4 linked regions of the Drosophila melanogaster genome follow. The protein of the gene in region 2 purifies or fractionates together with the protein of the main gene of each other region. This does not show direct contact. Each region holds a gene or a part of one and is shown on either strand. Other genes may lie near its edges. The genes, in order: CG10265, eIF1A, Snx3 and CG7668.

Region 1 (4,302 bases), on a different chromosome or scaffold from region 2:
AATTCAATTAGATAATTAAGCCTGAAACTCTCAAAGCTAAATGTAGTGGATTATTAAAAGGAAAATGCAATGCAGTTTTGTTCGGTGCCCGAGAGTTAAGTAAGGAAATGAACTACAAGTATTTGAAATAGAAATAATATTGAAACTTGAAATGAGAATAAAATTGAATTCTAATTCAAATTTATAGGTGTTTTACTGGCGGATTAAATGTATATTAAATTATAAGTGCTTTAGTAGTGGGACGTACCAAGATTGTTAAAAAACATCTGTTTTTTAAGTCTGGGCTTGGTGACCTTTACAGAGAACTAAACTTAAGGTTCGCTGTCAATGATGCAACTGCAGCCGAAATATTGCAAATATTATAAAATTCACCAAACAAAACACAAGCGGTTCTAAAAATTTCAAAATGATGTCATTTTCACTGCATTGAATGCCAAATCTAAGGTGGCAAAATAAATATTCTGTCCCCAAATTATGTAAGCCCGAATTGGCTGCCATCGTCGTCAGCTGACCTACCTTTTAATTGGTACCGCCTCGGCAGGTGGGTGTGCACACGCGAATTTTGGATTTGGATTCGGCAGTGTTTCGAGTACTACAAAATATATATAACGCCGGGCGCAAGCACAAATATTTCCAATTACTTTCGACCGAAACGCGTGCGGCACCAAAAATCAACAAGCTGCTTCTTCTTCTTACACAGTGATGCCAACTTTTCAGCTACATAAATGGACAACATAAAAAAAGCTAGGACTGTTAACATTTTGTATGGAACATGTGATTACCGTCTTCAAAGTATTTAAACGGCATTGTTTGAGTGATATATAGTTTTAATTATTTAATATAGTTCAATACATTTATAAGCTAAATAGCCACCACTAGTGTATAGTCGATATATTAAATCGATAACGTTGTCGCATCAAAAGGTCACACTGCTTGAGCAAAAAAACCAAAATAAAACATTTAAAATTAAGCGATTTGATAATAAAGAGACTCGCTTGCTATTAAAGTTATAAACGCTATCCGGGAATTTATTAATCTCCATTTAAATTAAATAAAGTTATATTGCTAAATCCTCGCCTCCAGAGGCACATTTAATGGCACCATCCTTACACTACGGCGAATACAACTACGATTTTCTTACTTTGGTGCATCTGATGCCCTTGGATTGCAGTTTTCTCATGATGTCCAAGGTCTCTTGATTTTTGGTTGGATTTAGCTCAGTCGTGGCATTCAATTGGGTACTTGCTCGCTTCACCTCCACACCGCATGCTCTGAGTTTGTTTAGGATTTTCTGGGTGCCATCCAATGGAGGAGTTGATTTGCTTGTTATGGTAGGAACTGGTTTCTCGGGCGTCTTGGGAGGTTCTGGTACTTCAGATATCCTTGAAGAGACTGGTATAATAAGCTTCGATGCAGGAGAAAATTTCATGGGTACCAATTGAGATGTTGACTGCGTTGTCCCGGTAGCACGAGATTGCAATGACCTTACAGGATGTACAGGAGCTGGTGGTGCCTCTGGAATCCTTTCCTTTTTCTCCGTGTCCTGCAATCGCTTCAGATCTTCCAGCACAGTGGGCACCAGAATGATGGCCTTTTTCATCTTTACTGCTGGCGGTTGAGGGGAAGTCAAGCAGGCACGGGATCTGCGCTGCTGCTGGGAGGTCAGAATGGTACGTCGGGTGGTGGGAGGGCTACGCGGACGTTTCGCAGGCACCCCTTCCGGTTCCTGAGGCTCCTTGGCGAGCGGCACTACATCCTCCTTTACTATATTTTCCTTGGAATTTGTCTTTGGTATGGTCTGCACGGTGGGCTTGGGATTGGTGTACCAGCGTGGATCCTCCAGCTCTGCCTCCCAATCGATGGCCGTGTTGGTGTTCTTCTTAACCGCCTCCAGGTCGTAGATGTGAATCTGCAAGAAGTGAGTTCAATCAAAAGGATTCTCAGGAAGTTTTCAGGGCAACGCCGGATCATGGAGCTCCCTTAGCTGCCTACCTCCTGTCTGCCATTCACCAGTCTCGTTTCCCGATTGGCATCATCAAATGCCAGCGGTTCGATCGGCGTTACTATGTATTTTACTCCGGGGCAATCGGCTAGGTGGCGTTGGAACGATTGGAGCGTCATAAAGTGGCATTCGCAGCTGCGGCACAGCGTTAGAAGTCGTTTTTGGTCGTCGTATAGAACGTCGCCAAGGCGAATCGTCTTCATGGACTTTATTTTACGCGATCCATTCATTTTTTTTGTAGCCAATTCGCGCCAAGAAGAAAAATGGTATTAAAAAATTATTTCAGTTTGTTTTTGCATTCGTGCAGAGTGGCCAGACGTTGAAACGTAGTAGATGTCAACGATTTTTAGTTGGTACAAAATCTGACATAAAAATACCAAACAGTTGCTATTCATTTTGTTGCGCGCCTAAATTCAAAGCACACAAAAAACCAAATAGGAAAAACACATTACACATTAAAAAAAAAAACATTTAGATATAAGATTTGATAAGGATGACGATATATAAATGGTATAATAAAATGTTTGGAATAATTTAATATAAATATTATATAAATAATTTATGTTTATATGTAGTTTTGCTCAGATTGATAAAAAATAGATGAAAACATACTTTCACTATGTAAAATAGAACGATTTTTTTGTTTACGGTTTTTGGTCCATGAATCGAAAATTACTGGAAAGATTTTATTTGAACTGCTCCTGCTCATTTTTTGCTGCATTAATAGTAACTCTCTGCTTTCTTTTACATTGTCGAATAAGTGGACTAGCGTTTTCTTTGTTCTTTTTCCCGTGTTGGCTTTTGTTTCCTTTGATTAACGCCCATGCAATTGAAATTAAATCGCTTGCAAATGATTCGCAAGCTACCTAAAAAAAAATTGGGCAATCCAAAAAATGACATCGTTTATGCAGCCGGGGACTGCGCCATTTGTAAGCTTGCCATTTTTTCGACCAATGTGATATGGAGCCATATGGAGGGAACATTGTCTGATTTTGACTTCAACTCGAATGTCTGTCTAGTGTGTGTGGAAAACAAATGAAAAGGAAATCCAGCACTTTTTGCGTACCTACATATATATTAAATTTTTTTTTTTTGTTGTTGTAATGTTCCGCATAACGAGCACGGACCATGTCGAACCACGTGCAGCATAATCACCCGGCAGAGCGTAGGTGAGTATCGTTGGCATATTCTTGATATTTTTCAAACTGGCCCACTTTTGGTTGAATTTTCCTGCTATTCTTGCAACTTAATAAGTGAACTTTAAAGAGCCGCATCGCTTACAGCCCGGAAATTGTATGGATCTGTGGGTCGCAGCTCCAGCGGCAATTGGATGAAGTTGCCGATGCTGATGAGGCTGCTCCTGCAGTTGCTATTCCTGCATGCAATTAAGCCAGGGACGAGAGCGAGGCACAACTTGCCACTCTGTGTGTCCCAAAACTGCAAGCTGACCATGCAAATTACGTTGCCCACACTCATACTTGCACACGCTCTGCTACACACACGCATTCCTGTCGCCTCGTTTGGGGGCCTGCGGGGCTCCCCGGCATTTGAGTGATGCACCAAGTCGAGGAAGCGGAGAAGGTGGCCAGCTAGCTGGAACCCCATTGCCGCTGCCACTGCCACTACTACTACTACTACTAACTGCCACTGCCAAAGCTAAGTTAAATGGACCTGCGGTGCACTCGAGCAGCCAGGACGCAAACTACAGTGGATACCGCTTAAAGTATATAACTGTTATTATTTGTATTGTTTATTGTACTGATCCTAAATAGAAGATATTAGCTTCCCTTAAAACGCCTGACTGTGCTGTGATGCTTCTACACAAATTAGACACAATTCGAAACTAGCTTGTTGGCTGCTAACAGTTTGGATATAGCCAGGCACCACTGTACGCCGTGCATGCAGATTGAAGTGCAGACCATGTCAAGGTAGCGGCTGCAGCTTTGGCCAGTAGATTAAATTAAACGTGGCAAAGGAGACGGCGCCAGAAGAGGACGAGCTCCGTGGCTAGGTGGCTCCATGGCTCCATGGCTGCATGGCTCCGTGACTCCGAGGGCTCGCCAGCCAGCCAGCTTGCCAGGAGGAGCAACTGCAGCCATGCGATGGCAATGGCAACGGCAACGACAATGGCAACAACATTAAACGTGTTTACACCATGTCCGACCAGTTGATATGCCAACTGCCCCCCGACCTGTCCTGCACCCCACCACACACACACACACTCACTGGCACACACACACACATAGGGATGCGTAACCAGGCATGAACTGCTCTTGGACAATGAACACATGCCATGGCAG
Region 2 (5,556 bases):
GGCCAACATGCCCATACTGGACATGGAGTTATGCGAACAGATTCTCGCCCGCTCCGGACTCCCATTGCACGAGACCAATCTGTGCACTGGCCCGCTGACAGGAGGCGTTAGCATCTGCACCGCCGACTCCGGCGGACCATTGATTCAGCAGTGCTGCGAGGAGCACTTCGAGCAGGCCAACATTGTCATCGGCATTGTGTCCTGGGGCAAGATGCCATGCGGCCAGAAGAACGCGCCCTCGGTCTTTGTTCGCGTCTCCGCCTTCACGGAGTGGATCAACCAGGTCATCAGCACGGCCACCCACATTATGTAAGATCATGTAATAATGATCATCGGAAAGATACTATACAACTTAGGCAGATTCGCCCACAAATTAGCGCTCGAATGTGAAGATATCGAAAAACGAAATATACAAAAAAAAAGACACAAAAGATTGAAAAACCCAAAGAAAAATGTAGATTCTCTAGACAATCTCACTAGGAAAATAAGATGAACAAATATAGAATTATATACTGCCACGATTCTAGTAATTTAAGACTTAGACTAAGCTACCAAAAAAAAAACATGAATAAAATTGTGAATACTTAAATAGAACAAAGATCTCAACTGTCTTCTTATTTTTAGCTTATCTAGCCAAGTAGGATGAGTTAAAATAGAATAAATGTGACCTATTTTACTCCGCAGTTATTGCGTAAGATAACTATCTTGCTTTTCTAACCAAATTAGCTCAACAAACAAGAACCAAAATAGATCGCACACCGGATCTTTAGTTTGGATTTAAATCCAATTGCGCAGATTGAATTAGAAAAGTGCGTATAGAGCCACCAGAGAGCTCCTTCAAATTTGGCCCAGTCGAAATAGATTGTGAAATAAGCTGAGGCGCGGGCAGTCGGTCGGCCAGATAAGAATTCGCGATATAATCCCATTCTGTTGCTGGGCGGGGAGCAGGCGGAGTTGTTGGGGTACGAAAGCACAATTCACTTGGCGCCTTTCCACGCATTAGTCATGCTCCCGAGCAACGTCTGGCCAAATTAAAGGGGCATCGGGAGCATGTTACGACTGTCAGATTGGGATCAGTGTGACTAGATTAGCTGGGAGCACGTAGAAAGCGCTAAATTGCCACCATCAGCTGACTGCTGGATGATTGACAGACTTTTTTGGGACAGTGTGTACGAAAATTACTGCCCTTGTTTTTGGGCCCAGACATCTGAGGATCGAGAGCTCGTTGAACCTTGAGTCGTCTGTCCAACTGCTGCACTTTGAGCCCCCAGAAACTGAGTAATTGGCTACCGGTCAGCTGTAATTCCGCACTTCCAATTTCCAGGAATTATCCATATCTATTCAACTTGACAGATGGCCTAGAAATTGTGAAGCACTCCCCACAAGCCCATCACACGGTATTCAAATGTTATTGTACTATCAGATCAATTATAGGGCATTTTCAATAAAATAGATAAGAAATAAAGAAAATTAATTATTTGGTTATTTGTGTGAAGGATTATTTATAATCGCTGAGTTTTTATTTGCCAAATTAGTAATGCAAAAATCTCAGTTGCAATGAAAAGCGTATTCAACACCAACATACGTGTACATAAGTTTGGGTTCAAAAATCTAATCACAGAAGTGCAAGCGCGAATAAATTCGTTGTTAATTCAATGGCGTCTCAGCCACATGCACCAAACGAATCCCCTACTTTACGGCCATTACGTAACATATCACTTTAAGATTAGGTGAGATTATAAATCCATTTATGGAGATCATGGCGCAAACTAAAAAACATAAAACTGCGTCGCACTTGCTTGCAAATTATAATTGGGTTTCCGTTTTTTCGGACACGACTTTTAACAGTAGATTAGATAAATGCCCCAAACCCCTTGACCAAGTGCGGTCAAAGAATAATTGCCAAGTCAGGATGTTGCATGAGGTTCATTTTATGGCACAGCACGTGCTATGAATCTTTGAAGTTCTTTCACCAGCTTCGTTTGGAATTGCATGTAAATGTAGAAAATCCTTTTTACTAATGGCATTGAATAGTTGCAGTGGTGCAGCAGGTGATTTACTTTGTTAATCAATGTCCAATAATCTGACAGGTTCTGTTCTAATTTATGGCGCTTATAAAGATAAAAAGTTCAAGATCTAATACCCGAAGAATTCATTGGAATTTCAATTGAAGAAATATCGCTAGCTAGTGAACTTCTATTTCGATCTGTTTACTTGCATTTACAGTGCCAATGATTGGCAATTAACGTATGACATGATTTTCAAGAGTCTGGAATCTTTTTGGTTGCGTAGTTTCCTTTATAACTTCATGTCTGATTTGTTCGCTCCGATTGGAGTCCACTTCTGGTATTGTATATTTACTTGACACCTACTAGAAATCGAAGACGTCACTAATTACGCCGCGAATCTTGACGCAGTCGATTTGGATGGAATCTTATTTATGACGCCCGTCTCCTGCGGCGTGAAGCACAATCCAAAATTTGACATGTGCTCATTCCCTTCGGAAGAAACGATCTAATCTCTATATGGACGACCGTGACCACGACCAGGGCTAACTCAGGTAGGTGATAAGGAGGAACTACCATTGCGGACGTATGGTATTTCATGGAATGCAGTTTGACCACCCAAATTAGTGCTATAAAGGAGGCTGTATTCGCAATTGAAAACATGTAACTGAATAGCTAATTCAAATGCAAAAGATATACGCAAAATTTTGCGTAAGGTGTACTACCATGAAAAAATTGAAAAAAAAAGTGCGTAGCAAAACTTTTTCACTAGCTTAGTTTCAGAATCGCTGAAGTGAAAACTGACTATATATATCATACTTCTTATGATATATATATATATACTTATATGATATATCATACTTCTATTGTTTAAAATGATATATATTGTATCAATAAAATTAAATTTCATATGGTTTTAAGTAGACAGTAAAGTGAAATTGACTATAACCTCGACAGAATAGTACTTATTTTAAGTATTACGCCTTTTTACATTTCAAATCGAATTATTTGAAAGAATTAAGTATCGGCGGTCACCCTGTATTTGCAGTGCTATTGCTTTGCTTTCATCTACATACATACATCAGTGCATAGGCACTTGCGTATTATTAATCAGCCGCCCCGTCCACACCGCCCACTGCTCTTTTGTTAATGCATTCGCACAAGGACGATGACACCCACTCAATAATGGACCAGTAAAAGAGAATTGCAGAAAAAGAGAGTTGAAAATTAGGTATAGAAAGGTCGAAAGTTAGCAGGGTAATGCAAAATCCCCCAAAATCACAAAAACTGCCTGCATTTCAACAAAAACAATAACGTAAATACGTAGCATTCGCTGGCAATCAATGCCAAAATGGCTTAAGAGAGCCACCTTAGAGAGGGGCACCCACTCAACGCAAGCGAAGAGAGCACAGGCGAAACAAAGAGCGTAGTCAGAGCAGCACTCACCTTCTTGCGAAGTTTCCCCCGAATGTGACACAGGCGTTTGACGCCATCAAAGCACATTGCCTCCAGACGACCGTTGCCCAGCATCTTGGTCACCTGCGCGTACTCCTGTTGGTCCTCCTTGAAGATCAGCTCACGCTTCTCGAACTCGTTCTCGTTCTTACCACGACGACGATTCTTGCCTCCTTTTCCTTTATTCTTGGGCATTTTGGCTGTTTGCTGTTGTTGCTGTGCAGCTACTTTCGATGTTGTTGCTGTCTGCGGGCTTGTTGGCGACCCTGGAGCGGGAACGGGGTAAAACTGTTACTCAACGACTTCACTGGGTGGGTAGTAATGCAATGAAAACATTCAACCCGAAATAAAGCGACAGAGTTGTTTCAAAACTTACAATTTTGTCAAATGTAAATGTGACAATTTCGCCTCGCTAAAGTGAAAAGGACTAGAGGTGGACGGTTTCGCGGGGAACCAGTATATCGAACTGGTGCTATCGACAGCAATGCAGAGTCTGGCAGCATTCGTTTAAAGTATCGTAATTTAAAATTTCACTCAACTTTTTAGTCATTAGCGATTGAATCTTAAATTATAACATGTACAAATTTTATTTTCTACTTTGTATATTTAAGTTATTTCGCTATCACCATAAGAGGAAGAAATCGATTTACCACCGCTAAAGCTATCGATATCTATCATCATCAGCTATCATTAGTGGTACTCCCATCTGGTTTGTTTATAAGCTTTTTTACGAAAATAAATTGAGGCGGAGGAGACCGAAGTTTTTCCACTTGGCCAAGATGCACCAGGCCTACAGTGTTCACTCGATCCTGAAACAGGGCGTGCAGATAGAGTCAATTGCGGCATATGGTGAGTGGAATTTTCGGTGCACAGCTATTACTCACCGGACGCATTTTTTCAGGCAACCATGTCATCTTGGGCACCCGCAGCGGACAGCTGATCATGTACTCTGTGGACGAGGAGACGGGCGTGGACATGCGGATGTTCAACAAGAACTTCAGCCGGAAACCGATCACCCAAATGGAAGTGATTGCCTCGGAGAACCTGCTCTTCGTACTCACCGACTTACAGGTGCAGGTGTGCGACATTCGGCGGATTGAGAGCAACTTCGCTTTCATGCACAGTGCGCCCGACACGAAGGGATGCACCCTGTTCACCATGGACGTGGACACGCCGAAGTCCACAACCGGACGTGTGGCCACCGTCATACGGGTGTGCTGCGCTATCCGGCGGCGTCTTGTGTTCTTCTTTTGGAAGGAGGACAAGCTTAATTCCCTGGAATTGATCATCGAGCTCAGCGATGTGCCCAGGACACTGTGCTGGGTGGGCCATGCTGTCTGCGTGGGCTTCAAAGACGAATATGTTGTTTACGATGTGAGAAATGCTTTAAAGTCGATTTACTTCGTATTTTAAAGGTCTGCATATCCAATTCTAGATATCAGGAAAAGCACCAAAGAAGCACAACCTCTTCCTTACCTCCTCTAGTATCAGCAGAGATCCCTGCATTTGCCTTATCCGGAACAACATGTTGGGCATCTCTAAGGACAGCTACCTCGTCGTAGTAGATCCGAGTCAGTACAAAGAATCGGATGGAATCAATAACTCAACAGATGTCCGGCCAGCTGCCATGGACAGCAATAGTTCCCTAACTCCTCTGCTCTGGTCAAGTCCGCTTTTAGATCTGGGTACGATACTCACTATTCACTTCAAGCCAATTTCTAAATCACATTATCTTCATTACAGTCTGGGATGAGCCATTCGCTGTGGGTCGTGTCAACAACGCCATCGAGGTGCGCAGCCTAGTGGGCAAGGACACCCTGGTCCAGACCATTCCCGAGCTACAGAAGACGAAATTCCTGGTTCACGCCGACAAGGGAACCATCTTTGCCGCCGCCACCTCCGAGCTTTGGTGCATTCGAATGGTGGAAATCCCTATCCAGCGTCAGCAGTTGCTACAGCAAAAGAAATTCCAACTGGCTATTGAGCTGACGGTGAGTCCGATAAACGAAATCAAAATACGACGACTACAACAAACTTTATGTTCAGCAAATCTCCGATGAACCTGCCGCGGACCGAGCCCAAACCATTCGCCAGA
Region 3 (5,482 bases), 5.6 Mb from region 2:
CCGAGGTTGTAAAGGATCTCGCAGGACCGTGCCGAACTCATGGTTTGCAGCGTACTCTGGCGCAAATTTCGCGCCAGCTGCTGGTCAAAGTTGAGCGCATTTTGGAAGAACTTGGCGGCGATGGCATAGTGACGCACTCTTAAGTGTATCACTCCCATATTGTTGGCAATGCACGTGCTCAGCTGGGGGGTTATAGTGCTATTAAGATAGACAATAAAATAGTATGTCTTCTTTGAACTTAAAATGAAGCAGACTCACCCCGCTTGTGTACACTCGTTATTGATTCGCATAAGCTGCTTGGCGGCCATCTGAAAATCCTTCATGATGTAGTACTGCTGAGCCTTCAGAGCAGCGTACTCCGGCGTGCCGTCTTCCTGAATAACCACCGGTTTTCGGTTAAGCACGAGCGTTATTAGCTGCAAGAGCTGCAGACTACCGCCCAGACCGGGCACAGCTCCCTCCACAGCTGCTCCTCCTGGTGAGGCCACCACTGAACTGTTCGTCGCTGCTGACGGAGGTGCTGTGCCGACAACAGCTGCCTCTTCGGCCGCATTGCTGCTAGGCGCTGTGGCCACCAGGTTAAGCTTGTACTGCAAGTAATCCAGAAAGGCCTCGGCTCGGTTTAGTTGATTGGTGGCCAGCAGCAGCTGTAGCTGTAGTGTGGCCACCAGCGCTGCCATTGCCTTCTCCAGGGCTTCCAGACGAGCCACTAGTGGTGCTAGTTTCTCCAGTGCCGTGCCGAACATATGGCGGTGATAATAGATGACCGCCCGGTTGTAACGAGCAACAGTGGCGGCGGCAGCTCCCTGCTTAAGGCTCAGCCCGCTGGACACGTCTCCGGGCGCATCTGCATCGGCGGTTAGAGCCTCCAGTTCTTTCAGCAGGACGGAGTGTTGGGTGCACCCGGTTTTGTAGTAGCTGACCACCGCCCGGTTGTGCCGCAGGACAGGACCACTGCTCTCGCCGCGCGTCTCCAACTCCTGGAGCAGTTCCAAGCAGCGATCAAACTCCGAGCTAGAATGAGGAGCAGCCGGAAAGGAGTGGCGGTTATGGGTGCACTTCCCGGTGACACGCGGATGAACACTCACTTGTTGAACTGCTCGTGCGCCTGGCACAGCAGACTGTAGTTCTCGTCCTCGCCGGCCTGCGTTTTGGTGGGGGATTCCGCCGAGTCCATGCCAAAAATAAATAAAAACAAAAAAACCGAACCAATCCACAGATGACACAGCGTTGCCAGAATCAACAAGCACAGCGTTGCCACTTTTAACCGTAACTAAAGCGGTTAACCTTATTAATAAATAAGTTAATTCTTAACATTAAACAACTTGTTAAATTTCTTGTTAATTTATTAATTAAAAATTAAATTGTTAATATGAACAAATTAAAATATATTCTATATAAAATTTTAACTTTACAATGGTCAAATTGGCATTTTGCTGTCGATAGGTGGCAGCACATCACTAGTCTAGATTTGCAGCGCGCGAAACCTATACCTTTATTTCAACTGAGACTTTTGTTTGTGATGATATATAATATTTAGAATAATAAAATATCCATTTATCGTTTACAATTTTTGATCCACCTACCCACCCAACTGTAATTATCCTTGCATTCAATCGAAGTTTCCTGTTTCATCATATTGTTATTAATCCTCGCCTGGTTTATATGATGGGAACTACATAGATTCAACATCGACCAGTTGAAGAACAAACTTCCATCCCGCAGAATTGGCTAGGAAAAAGGCTAATATTTTATACAAAACTCAACTTAATCTTCAGTTGCGCATCATTTTCAAGCACATTCAAATAATATCAGCAGTTCAATATTTTTGAATTATTTTAATTTGATTCGAAGTACAATATTATTCACTAAACTGTTTCAAAATATTCAATAATTTGCATACACTTACAAGGGATCGATTTTGGGGTCAGGATGGCTCCCTTATTTTATTTGCTGCTTCATTACCGCTGCAATGGTTCAAAACGAAGAAACTGAGGATCGGGAAAATGGGAGGGGCAGCTCCTACTTTCGAGACTCATTTAGCGAGGGCGTAGTAGGCATGTCTTATGTACACTATTCGTAAATATGTGTATTGTGTATAATATATATATATGTGTATGTATATTGTTATGTATACCATATAAACTTGAATTTAGCATTAAAAATTCCCAATGCTGGTTTTTAACTAATCCCCGGGGGCTGAGAGGGGCTCAACATTAACTGAGCAGCAGCACTTCCCGCCTCGTATCGCGTCGCATAACAGATCCCTTCTCCACCAACCTACATCATCGCTCATCTGCTCCATCCTCCTCCAATCCGGGCAAGCACACACATTCACACGGCTTCCCATAAAGATTTCGTAGCAGGTTTGTTCGTTCGAGTTTTTGCTTCATTGCATTGCTATGGTTAGGGGGTTTCGATTGCGCCGGACTAAGCTGCTTATGTGTTCCGAATCTTGCCGGGCACGTAGTTCTTATCTATGACATTCTCCTGCAGGAACATATGCAGGCAGCGCTCGTTCTGCGCCAGCGGATGTCCGGCTATCTTGTTGATGAAGGCCTCCAGTCCCTTGCGCCGCTCCTCGATGAAGCTTTCGTCAAAGATGCCCTCGTCGCCGCGGAAGGGCATCTGCCGCTTCCATGCCTTTCCTGGGAGTGGTGGCACCACAATCTGCGGGGATATGTATGTTCATGATTAAATACTCTTCAGGCGCTTATCGAAGTTTCCGTTTTCACTTATAAAACTCAGGGTTAAGTTTCCTCTTAAGGATTGAAACTTTTCTAGTGGCTTCTTATAATTACAATGTATTGTTTCGTAATTCTATCTAAATAGATTCTGAATAGTGCGGATTTTGAATCTATTAAAGTGAAAACGAAAGACTACCGCCTGGATCACACTTGTCCGTACCTTGCTATCCCGCTCCAGCTCGTTTCGCAGCCACTCAAAGTCGCTGTAGCGTCGCCTGACACTGGACTCCTTTACCTTAAAGACGGGCAGATTGGTCTAAAAAAGGAGCGATGGTTAATCATATGTGGTGGCCAATCTTATAGAGTAATTCAATGAAAGGTCGGTGCCGCATAAAGGCACCCGCATGCCGCATTTCCGTGACTCAAGCCGTGACACTGGAATCAGTGCTCTGCACTTGTGACTAATGTTTATCGGCCGGCTCGCTTTATAGGCGTATCACCCGCACTCACACACACACACACACACACACACGCACGCACACACACATGCACAGCGAGACAAAGTCGCACGAACACATGCACACAAGTGTGTGAGCGAATTCCAGCGATTATCAATGGTTTTTTCGGTGAATTTTGGAAGGTGCATAGGTGGTGCCCCCATGTACATGTACTACGATCACTCACCCGCATCCGGACCTCGTAGTCCGTGTAGCGCTTCTTGCCCGCCGCCATGGTGGTCAGCGGATTGACCACGTCGATCTCCAGGAAGTTGGCGGGCACGGCGTACGCATCGTCCAGTGTTTGCTTCTTCACGTTTAGGCGGCGGGTGGCGTCGGCGGTTCCATCGGACTCAACCATCATAGTGGTGCAATGCCAGGGGCTCCGGATCGGCAGAGCTATAGACGCCCCTTTTATCGGTTGGAAGAAACGGGTTTTGCACTGGCTATCTCTCTTTGTGCACTTCTTTGTCGCGGCTCGCTGCCTCCGATGTCCCGGATTCTGGTACTATTCAATTGCTGTCCCCGAGCACTGCTTTGTTTTACTTTCTGGGTGTCCAAGTGCCGCAGCGGGTAAACAACTTTTGTAATTTAATTAAATTTGTTCCATTAAAAAACTTTCCAATAATTAACAGAACTGTGCTGTGTGAGTTAACAGTAGGGGTGGTACAAATCAATGCTTCCAAATTTATCGATAACATACGGCGATATGGCAGCTCTCTGTGGGTGAAAAACACTGCTAACTCCAGTGTAGGTAAACAGACTTGTGAGTGCGTAGCTGCCATACCGATTTCGTCACCGGTTCATTTGATACCATATGGCAATGTGGCAGCCCTGCTGCGGTGTGGAACTCCACTAAATGGCAACACTAACAATTAGTGTTGTAAAGCGCGCGAAACGGAAAGTTCCTAACGCGTGACGGGTCATGTGACGGCACGTGACGTCACAGCAGATTCACATTCAGCAATACTTTCAGTTCCAGGGCAATTTTTCATCGTACTCGCAACGACTTCGCAGGCCAAAATTTTGCGTGTGTGTCGCTCAGTACTGTTTCGTAGCTGAAAAATTGTATGTGCTTGTAAAAGACCACGTCCGAATAGTGGCTAAAAGCTAAAATCGTATCTAATTGCAGCTCGAAATTTGCAGTGCACTTTCAAGGTAGAGGCGCAGAAAAAGTCTATCCAAGATGAACGCCCAACAAGCCCAGCGGGAACATGTCCTCGCCGTCTCCCGGGACTTTATCTCCCAGCCCCGCTTGAGTGAGTAATCCACGGAATTTGCAAATAAGTGAAATATCAAGAAATGCATTCGCAACCCAATCAAGTGACCGAAAAAAAAAACCCAATAAGAAAATGCCAAGAAAGTCCGCCATGACAGTTTGCACGAATCTGGTGTGAGGCGAAGTAGAGAAAAAATCAATAAATTCTTGCGACACCCACAAAAACACACAATTAACAACGTAACAGAATGAAACCTATAGAATAATATTTCATATAGAGCTTTAAATGTTCTACGCTGATCAGATCGTAATGGGGAGCAGCCCATAATCATGGTTAACGCTTATTGAAAATTTTCGCCGTCACATGACCGTTCGCTGCTCAGCTGTTTGCGTTTGCCATTCAAAGCTGAACGCACACACTTAAAGGCACCTGACTGCGAACGGGGTGGGTGGCATAACTGACGATTGATCGGTTCGGTCGATAGAGAGAATTTCAATGTTTTTTATGTTGGCTGTATTCATGTGTCAAATTAGTAGCCATTGTAGATAAAAATATAGTTGCATTGTTTTATGCAGCCAGTCAGTGTAGGCTTGTCTTTTAATGCAATTTATATATTTATCTTCGCTGCATATTTCAATCCCTTTTTCCTATCTAATTCCCATAAGATTCCAACTGCAGCTCGTGGCAAGGGCTAAAAACCAGTTGGACAGTCAGCTGACATAATTTAGCCTCCCAGTCAACACCCCCCTCGCGCCTACACTTTTCTTTTGACGTTTGCTTTCTTATCAGATTCCGACTTTCATGTGAGCATTGCGCGACTCGTGTTTTTGTTGGAACTTTATCTAATTGGAAGACGAAGAAAGCAATGTGCTACAAAGTAAAATTATTAAAACTTCGTTTTTATTGAAAAAAAAGTGATTAAAAGAGAAACAAATATTGAGCTGCCCTTTTAGTATATTATTTCCAATGACATCTATAAAAACAACTTAATTGTAATTTTTTTTAAAAAAAGATCCCAATTTTTATGGTCACTTCAGTGATTTAATTAATGACCTCATGGACATTGCAACAATTAAGA
Region 4 (5,480 bases), on a different chromosome or scaffold from region 2:
GTATGTTGTGGTTTATTCCACTGATTTTTGGTTGGATATATTTGGTTTCTCATTATCTGTATCACCACAGGGGGTTATGCAACCCCAATTCACTGTTACACTTATATGTAAAGCAATATTATCGTGGACTATTGGTCAACTCGGACGTATTTGTGGCACACAACACGAATACGTACATATTTCTGCATTTTACAGATAAACATCACTTGCACTGGAAATGCGTATGGGCGCAGATACATTTATCGACTCGCGTATCGTCGCCTAAGCTCGAGTCATATTAACGGAACAACGCGACTTTCGATTGAAACATACTTTCCCTTCTCATTCAATTGCTACCGACGACGCACACCGTTTACTGCGATTTAAAGCAACTTAAACCGCAGTCAATGAGAACAGAAATTCAACTGATTCGACTTTTCGTTTCGAGGTCCTAACGAGTTGGGCCATGTCCTGCGCTTGCAACCTCCAGCTGCAACCTCCAACAGCAACTTCGAGCTCATCCGGACCAGCTTGAGCATGGAGCACCCCTATTTCCCCTTCTGTTATTGAGTCCTTTGACCCTCTCTGGTAAAAATATCCCAGCTTTATTGCGGAGAACATGCATATGTCTGACTTGTTACATGTTTTAGACAAATGTATTTGTTATTGCTAAATATTTTGTGAGGCTAGGAAAATGCTCCACTTCACTGTTAGATGCAATTTGTTGCCTTCTGCAGATTTTTATGTTTTATTTTTTTTTTTTCTATTATGTATTATTATTACTATTTATCAAAATATATTTATATTTTATAGAAACTTGGGCAATTTAATACGGCATTCCTGCGATAAAATCGATTTTATCAAACGCGCCATCTGGTGGGATTTTCATGTAAATTTCCCTCGACCGTAAAATAACAAAGTCGGTATTATTACGATAAAAAAAATACCAAGCGAAGCTAGATTTTACTTGCAAATACAGCATACAGCATTTATAGGACCTTCAAGCCTGTTATCCACTCTTTGGTCGACACTAAAACTTAACATTCTACAATAATTAGGCTGAAAATGAACAGGTAGAAATTATTTTACAACTTTTATTTCCGTGACAATGTTATTTGACAAGCCATTATACTTGGCTCACGGCATTGGTCTGATTAGCATTTTGCACGACTTCAGGGGATATCTATTACCAACATTCCAATTACCCCACCAAATGCCATCGGTCGTGTCCAACTCAACTTTGGAATTCCGATATTTTCCGTTCAAGTTACTGAAAAAGAATTATTTTTCAAAATCATTAAACAAAAACAAGTTCATACATACCAGTTCATTGTACCCCACCATTTCGATGATTCCATTGCAAACGGATTTCCAACAATAATATGGTTTATATGACTGCGAAATGCGTCGCCAGCATTTCCTGAGTATTCGCCAAGGGAAAGCAGTTTGTATTTCTGTTTTTCATCGCCAATAACAAAATTATCATATCTTGCATAAGCACTAGCATTGTCGAAATCGACGAGCTGGATATATAGTTCCATTCGTCGATGTGTCGTCATTTTATGCAATTTTTGTAGGCCAAGCCAGAACTCGCCACCCAAATCCCCACAGCCCGTTATTATATTTGATTCAGTGGCGTTATCGAAACTGCCATCGATTCTACGCTGGATTATCATCCAACCACGACCGGCAGAAGGAATATCCTCGAAAACTGAGGCAAAGGGTTCGAAATCAGGTAGTGTCACCAATTTAATTGAAGGCAACTTGGAAGAGCCCAGTAATACGAATTCATCGTGGTCCTTATTATTAACGTTATACTCAGACAATATCTCTGTCATTTTCACTATCTTTTCGTCCTTCGCCTTTACTGCACCTTCCAATTGCACAATTTTTAGCTTCGACTCGTCAATTTTGAATTCTAGTCTGGCGATTTCCGCCTCTTTTGAGTTCAAAATTTTCTCGATTTCAACAATCTGATCATTCCCCTCTCGAAATTTTCCATTTTCCATATTTAACTCCTTTCGTTCTTTCACAACTTTATCATGCGCTGGAGCACAATTTCCTCCATCGTTCTTCTTAATTGTAATCCTACTCAAGTCGAGATCACTTTGCAAGTCCATAATTTGAGTTTGTAACTTCTGTATGGTCATTTCTTTTGTTTGCGTTACTAAGTCAATCGACAATTGCAGGGTCTTAATAAAATCATCCTTATCCTTGATGCAGTTTTCAAGTATACTGCCCTTCTCCTGTTGGGCCTTCAGATTTATTTCAGCCTCCGCCAACTTTCGGGTGAGTTCCGATATTTTCCTCTCATCTTTTTTCTTATGTTTCAGCATTCCCCGTGCACTTGTGCCCACAAATTCCATTTCCGAATCACTGCTGCTCTGAAAAACGAAAGAGTATACAATATTCGCTGAGAACTATGTGCATGAATTCATGATTACGATCACTATCGGATCTGACTGAGTCTATTCAAAGACACTAGAATCGGAATTTGGGGAAGTACATATAAAGCGAAAAGTTTTTATCAAAGACATTAGAATAATAAAGACATTAGACATTATTATTTTAGTGTCTTTGATTTTTATTTTACTTGTGAATTTATATCAATACACCAAAAGAATTTTCAAATTTCTCACACGTTCTTCTCTATCTATGTAAGTAACGAGAATCGAGAAAAATCTTATTGCTCACCGAATTGTTCTCAGTGCTGGAATCTGGAGAGGATCGCGAATTCTGAGAAAAGTTGTTCTGGTCCTCCGGCTTCATGGGGATTAATTTATCAGCACCACGTTTTATCGTACCTAAAAGCACTCCAAACGGAATTTGCAATAATCCGTGCAATAAATTTAAAGATGTAAAGCAAGTGCCTATATTTGTAACAACTCAAAATACAAAAAAATCCGATGAATTGCACGTAGCTGTTTAGCTCTAAGTGTTACCAGATATGGACTGAGGGAGTTACGCAGTCCGGCTAGAACATGGCATAGGGGGTATTCCGTAAATTTAATTACTGGGTATCATCTTTGAAAAGGAACTTTTGCATTTTCAAACTATTGCTTTAAATAAGTGTATAAGAACCATTTCTCATTTGATTAAGCTGCCTAGATGGCAGTAGTACGCTTTTCCTATAAATAATCACTTATATTTAAATACCAAAGAAACTTTGGAATACCTTTATTATCAAACCGGTTAGGAGATATATGTATTTATTCCCAAGATATTCAACATGTTAATAATCTTTTATTGTTGATAAACTTTCACACACTTTAACACATACCCTGTTATACATACATATTGCAAAACATTTAGGTCTGCAGAGTTGATCTTTGATATTCGCCTAACGTAAATACCACGCACAAAACAAAGCTCAATTGTTAAGTGTTAACAGTTTACGCATATTTATTTGTATGTATTGGGAACATCCAGAGAAATCAATATATAAAAAAAATATAATGTTTATATGTGAAGCCCTTAATTTCTACTGTTGAAATTTATATCTCAATTTCTGTAGCCATCTCCAAGTACTATTCGAGGTCGTCGATACTTGCGTTTCCAGATGAACACTCTATAATTTTGGCTCCGTCCAGTTGTTGCTCCGAGCTCTGCCCCAAAACGATTGGCCCGTCGTTGCCCTCGGCCGCTCGATTGCCGAACTCCTGCATCTTGACGATCAGCATCGCGAATACTTGAGCTGGAAGGGAGGATTGCAGCACCTGCAGCAGACGAGCCGGCTGGCCACACACGACGATGGCATTCGCCAAGTGCTCCACGCCACTCTCGAAATCTCCGCGGGCGATCAGGGTCTCGCCCAGCTGGATTTCTTGAAGGAAATATCTGCAAATATCATGGTTTAATTAGTTTGGAACAGCTGATTCGATGCACACTATTACGAATTAAATTAATGCCAGGCAAATTAGGTGCATATAAATAATATAAATTGTGCACAGTTGCAACAATAATAACTATTTGTATATTCAAATTATGAATTTCTTGGCAGGAAGCCTGCTGAGAATCCAAACACTGAAATGTGCTTGTTAATCCAAGGCAGTGGAGTCTTTAGATGCCTGAGGCAATAAGCAGCAACACGATGAACACGCAAGTGTAATGGGACTCCACATAAAATATGTACATCGATTTGGCTGGAGAAACATATGTGGGCTTGTTTGTTTGAATGGAGGTGTATTGAATCGCCAGGCACCACTACACGTGCCACATTATATAATGCGACTCCCATGGGAGTGTCCTACCTTTCGATGGCTTCATGGTCGTTCAGATTGGGAACTCCAGACTTGGCAGTGCCGGTTTTCTTGTTGCGACGGCGACCTAGGAAGTGATGAAATGATGAGTTTCTTTCATAATTCAGTTGGGGCGCAATGGGGATTCTTACGCTCACGGACTTTCTTCTTGTACTCGGGATCGCTGCGGCGCTTCTTGTCGAAGTAGATGCAGTATCCAATAAACAGAGTTCCAGCTACTCCCGCTGCAATGCCGATTGCAGTTTTGTTCATTTCAATCATATTACTACGGAAATCCTCTGTATTAACTTGGTCTTATTTTACATTCCGCATGTGCCATCGATTTACATAAAACAAAAATCGATATCGCCTACAACTACTGTTGTTTCATGTTTTTCACTTGTTTCGCACTAATTTGAAACGGCGGACTGGAACACTGTTTTCTTTTTTAAATTTTGCTAAGGGATATTTATTTAATTTTAAGTAAGAGATTTAAATGTATTTTTTTTTAGTTTATTCAGAAATACTGTGGGATCAAGTTATAATACGCTAAGAAATAATCGTAAGCTCACTTCTTGTATTATATTTATTTAACTTGCATTATTCGCTTAAAATCCCTATCCTCCAAAACTAATGTTTTTAATTTTCTTTTTTTATTTTTTTTACTTTTATTTTGTAATTACTTAAATAAAAAATTGTTCGCATATATGCATATCTTCCGTTGTGTGAAACAGCTGACGACTTAATTCAGTTTTTTTTTTTAATTTTAAATTTACCACTTTTTGAAGATATTTTGTTGATAACTCCAGAGTAGATTTTATTATGGCATAATGCATGTTGAGAATTTGGTCAAGGCCTATTGTTCGTTAAAATATTTGTTATAATTTTGTTTTGAAAAATAAGATATGCTTAATGTGGAAAAAGAAAATATATAGAAAATGCTAATACTATGATATATAATCTTCATTTCAATAGGAGACCATGGAGCCCCGCAGAGCAAAATATGGTTTGGTTTTTTTTTCAACTTTCGTTTACTTTCACTGCAGAATATGTAATTGACGCAGAACCATGATGATTCCAAAAGTTAAATTGATAAAATCCGAACTGGGAGAATGTGGTTGTGCTTAAGAATATGGATAGGTGTATATGCCCGCATACATAAAAGCCTCTATGTTTGTATTCTGTAAATATATACGTTTTCTTTATTAACTAAGTATTAGTGGCCAGCAACGAGCCCTCCTATTGAGCAATTCCTTCACTTAA

What was found.
Region 1: the proteins of eIF1A (region 2) and CG10265 purify together in Drosophila melanogaster (affinity purification with mass spectrometry, with the first as the bait; one large-scale study listed by BioGRID). This does not show direct contact.
Region 3: the proteins of eIF1A (region 2) and Snx3 purify together in Drosophila melanogaster (affinity purification with mass spectrometry, with the first as the bait; one large-scale study listed by BioGRID). This does not show direct contact.
Region 4: the proteins of eIF1A (region 2) and CG7668 purify together in Drosophila melanogaster (affinity purification with mass spectrometry, with the first as the bait; one large-scale study listed by BioGRID). This does not show direct contact.

The regions. Positions count from the first base shown.
Region 1 is NT_033778.4:14,991,520-14,995,821, forward strand, and holds CG10265 (uncharacterized protein), read right to left. Parts: upstream 2,317-4,302; 5' UTR 2,233-2,316; coding exon 1,993-2,232; intron 1,910-1,992; coding exon 1,127-1,909; 3' UTR 1,004-1,126; downstream 1-1,003.
Region 2 is NT_033777.3:18,273,038-18,278,593, reverse strand, and holds the start of eIF1A (eukaryotic translation initiation factor 1A), read right to left. Parts: upstream 3,897-5,556; 5' UTR 3,838-3,896; intron 3,769-3,837; exon of another isoform or gene 3,728-3,768; 5' UTR 3,657-3,727; coding exon 3,453-3,656; intron 414-3,452; exon of another isoform or gene 314-413; coding exon of another isoform or gene 1-313. Other genes in the region: CG7142 (uncharacterized protein), read left to right, coding at 1-313; Vps39 (vacuolar protein sorting 39), read left to right, coding at 4,241-4,310, 4,363-4,835, 4,897-5,146, 5,205-5,452, 5,508-5,556.
Region 3 is NT_033777.3:12,626,410-12,631,891, reverse strand, and holds Snx3 (sorting nexin 3), read right to left. Parts: upstream 3,862-5,482; 5' UTR 3,549-3,861; coding exon 3,372-3,548; intron 3,004-3,371; coding exon 2,908-3,003; intron 2,671-2,907; coding exon 2,440-2,670; 3' UTR 1,397-2,439; downstream 1-1,396. Other genes in the region: Not10 (CCR4-NOT transcription complex subunit 10), read right to left, coding at 1-198, 259-1,014, 1,089-1,177; Vha55 (vacuolar H[+]-ATPase 55kD subunit), read left to right, coding at 4,371-4,443.
Region 4 is NT_037436.4:20,000,186-20,005,665, reverse strand, and holds CG7668 (uncharacterized protein), read right to left. Parts: upstream 2,931-5,480; 5' UTR 2,749-2,930; coding exon 2,674-2,748; intron 2,364-2,673; coding exon 1,303-2,363; intron 1,250-1,302; coding exon 1,117-1,249; 3' UTR 832-1,116; downstream 1-831. Other genes in the region: Tom20 (translocase of outer membrane 20), read right to left, coding at 3,507-3,816, 4,230-4,305, 4,370-4,499.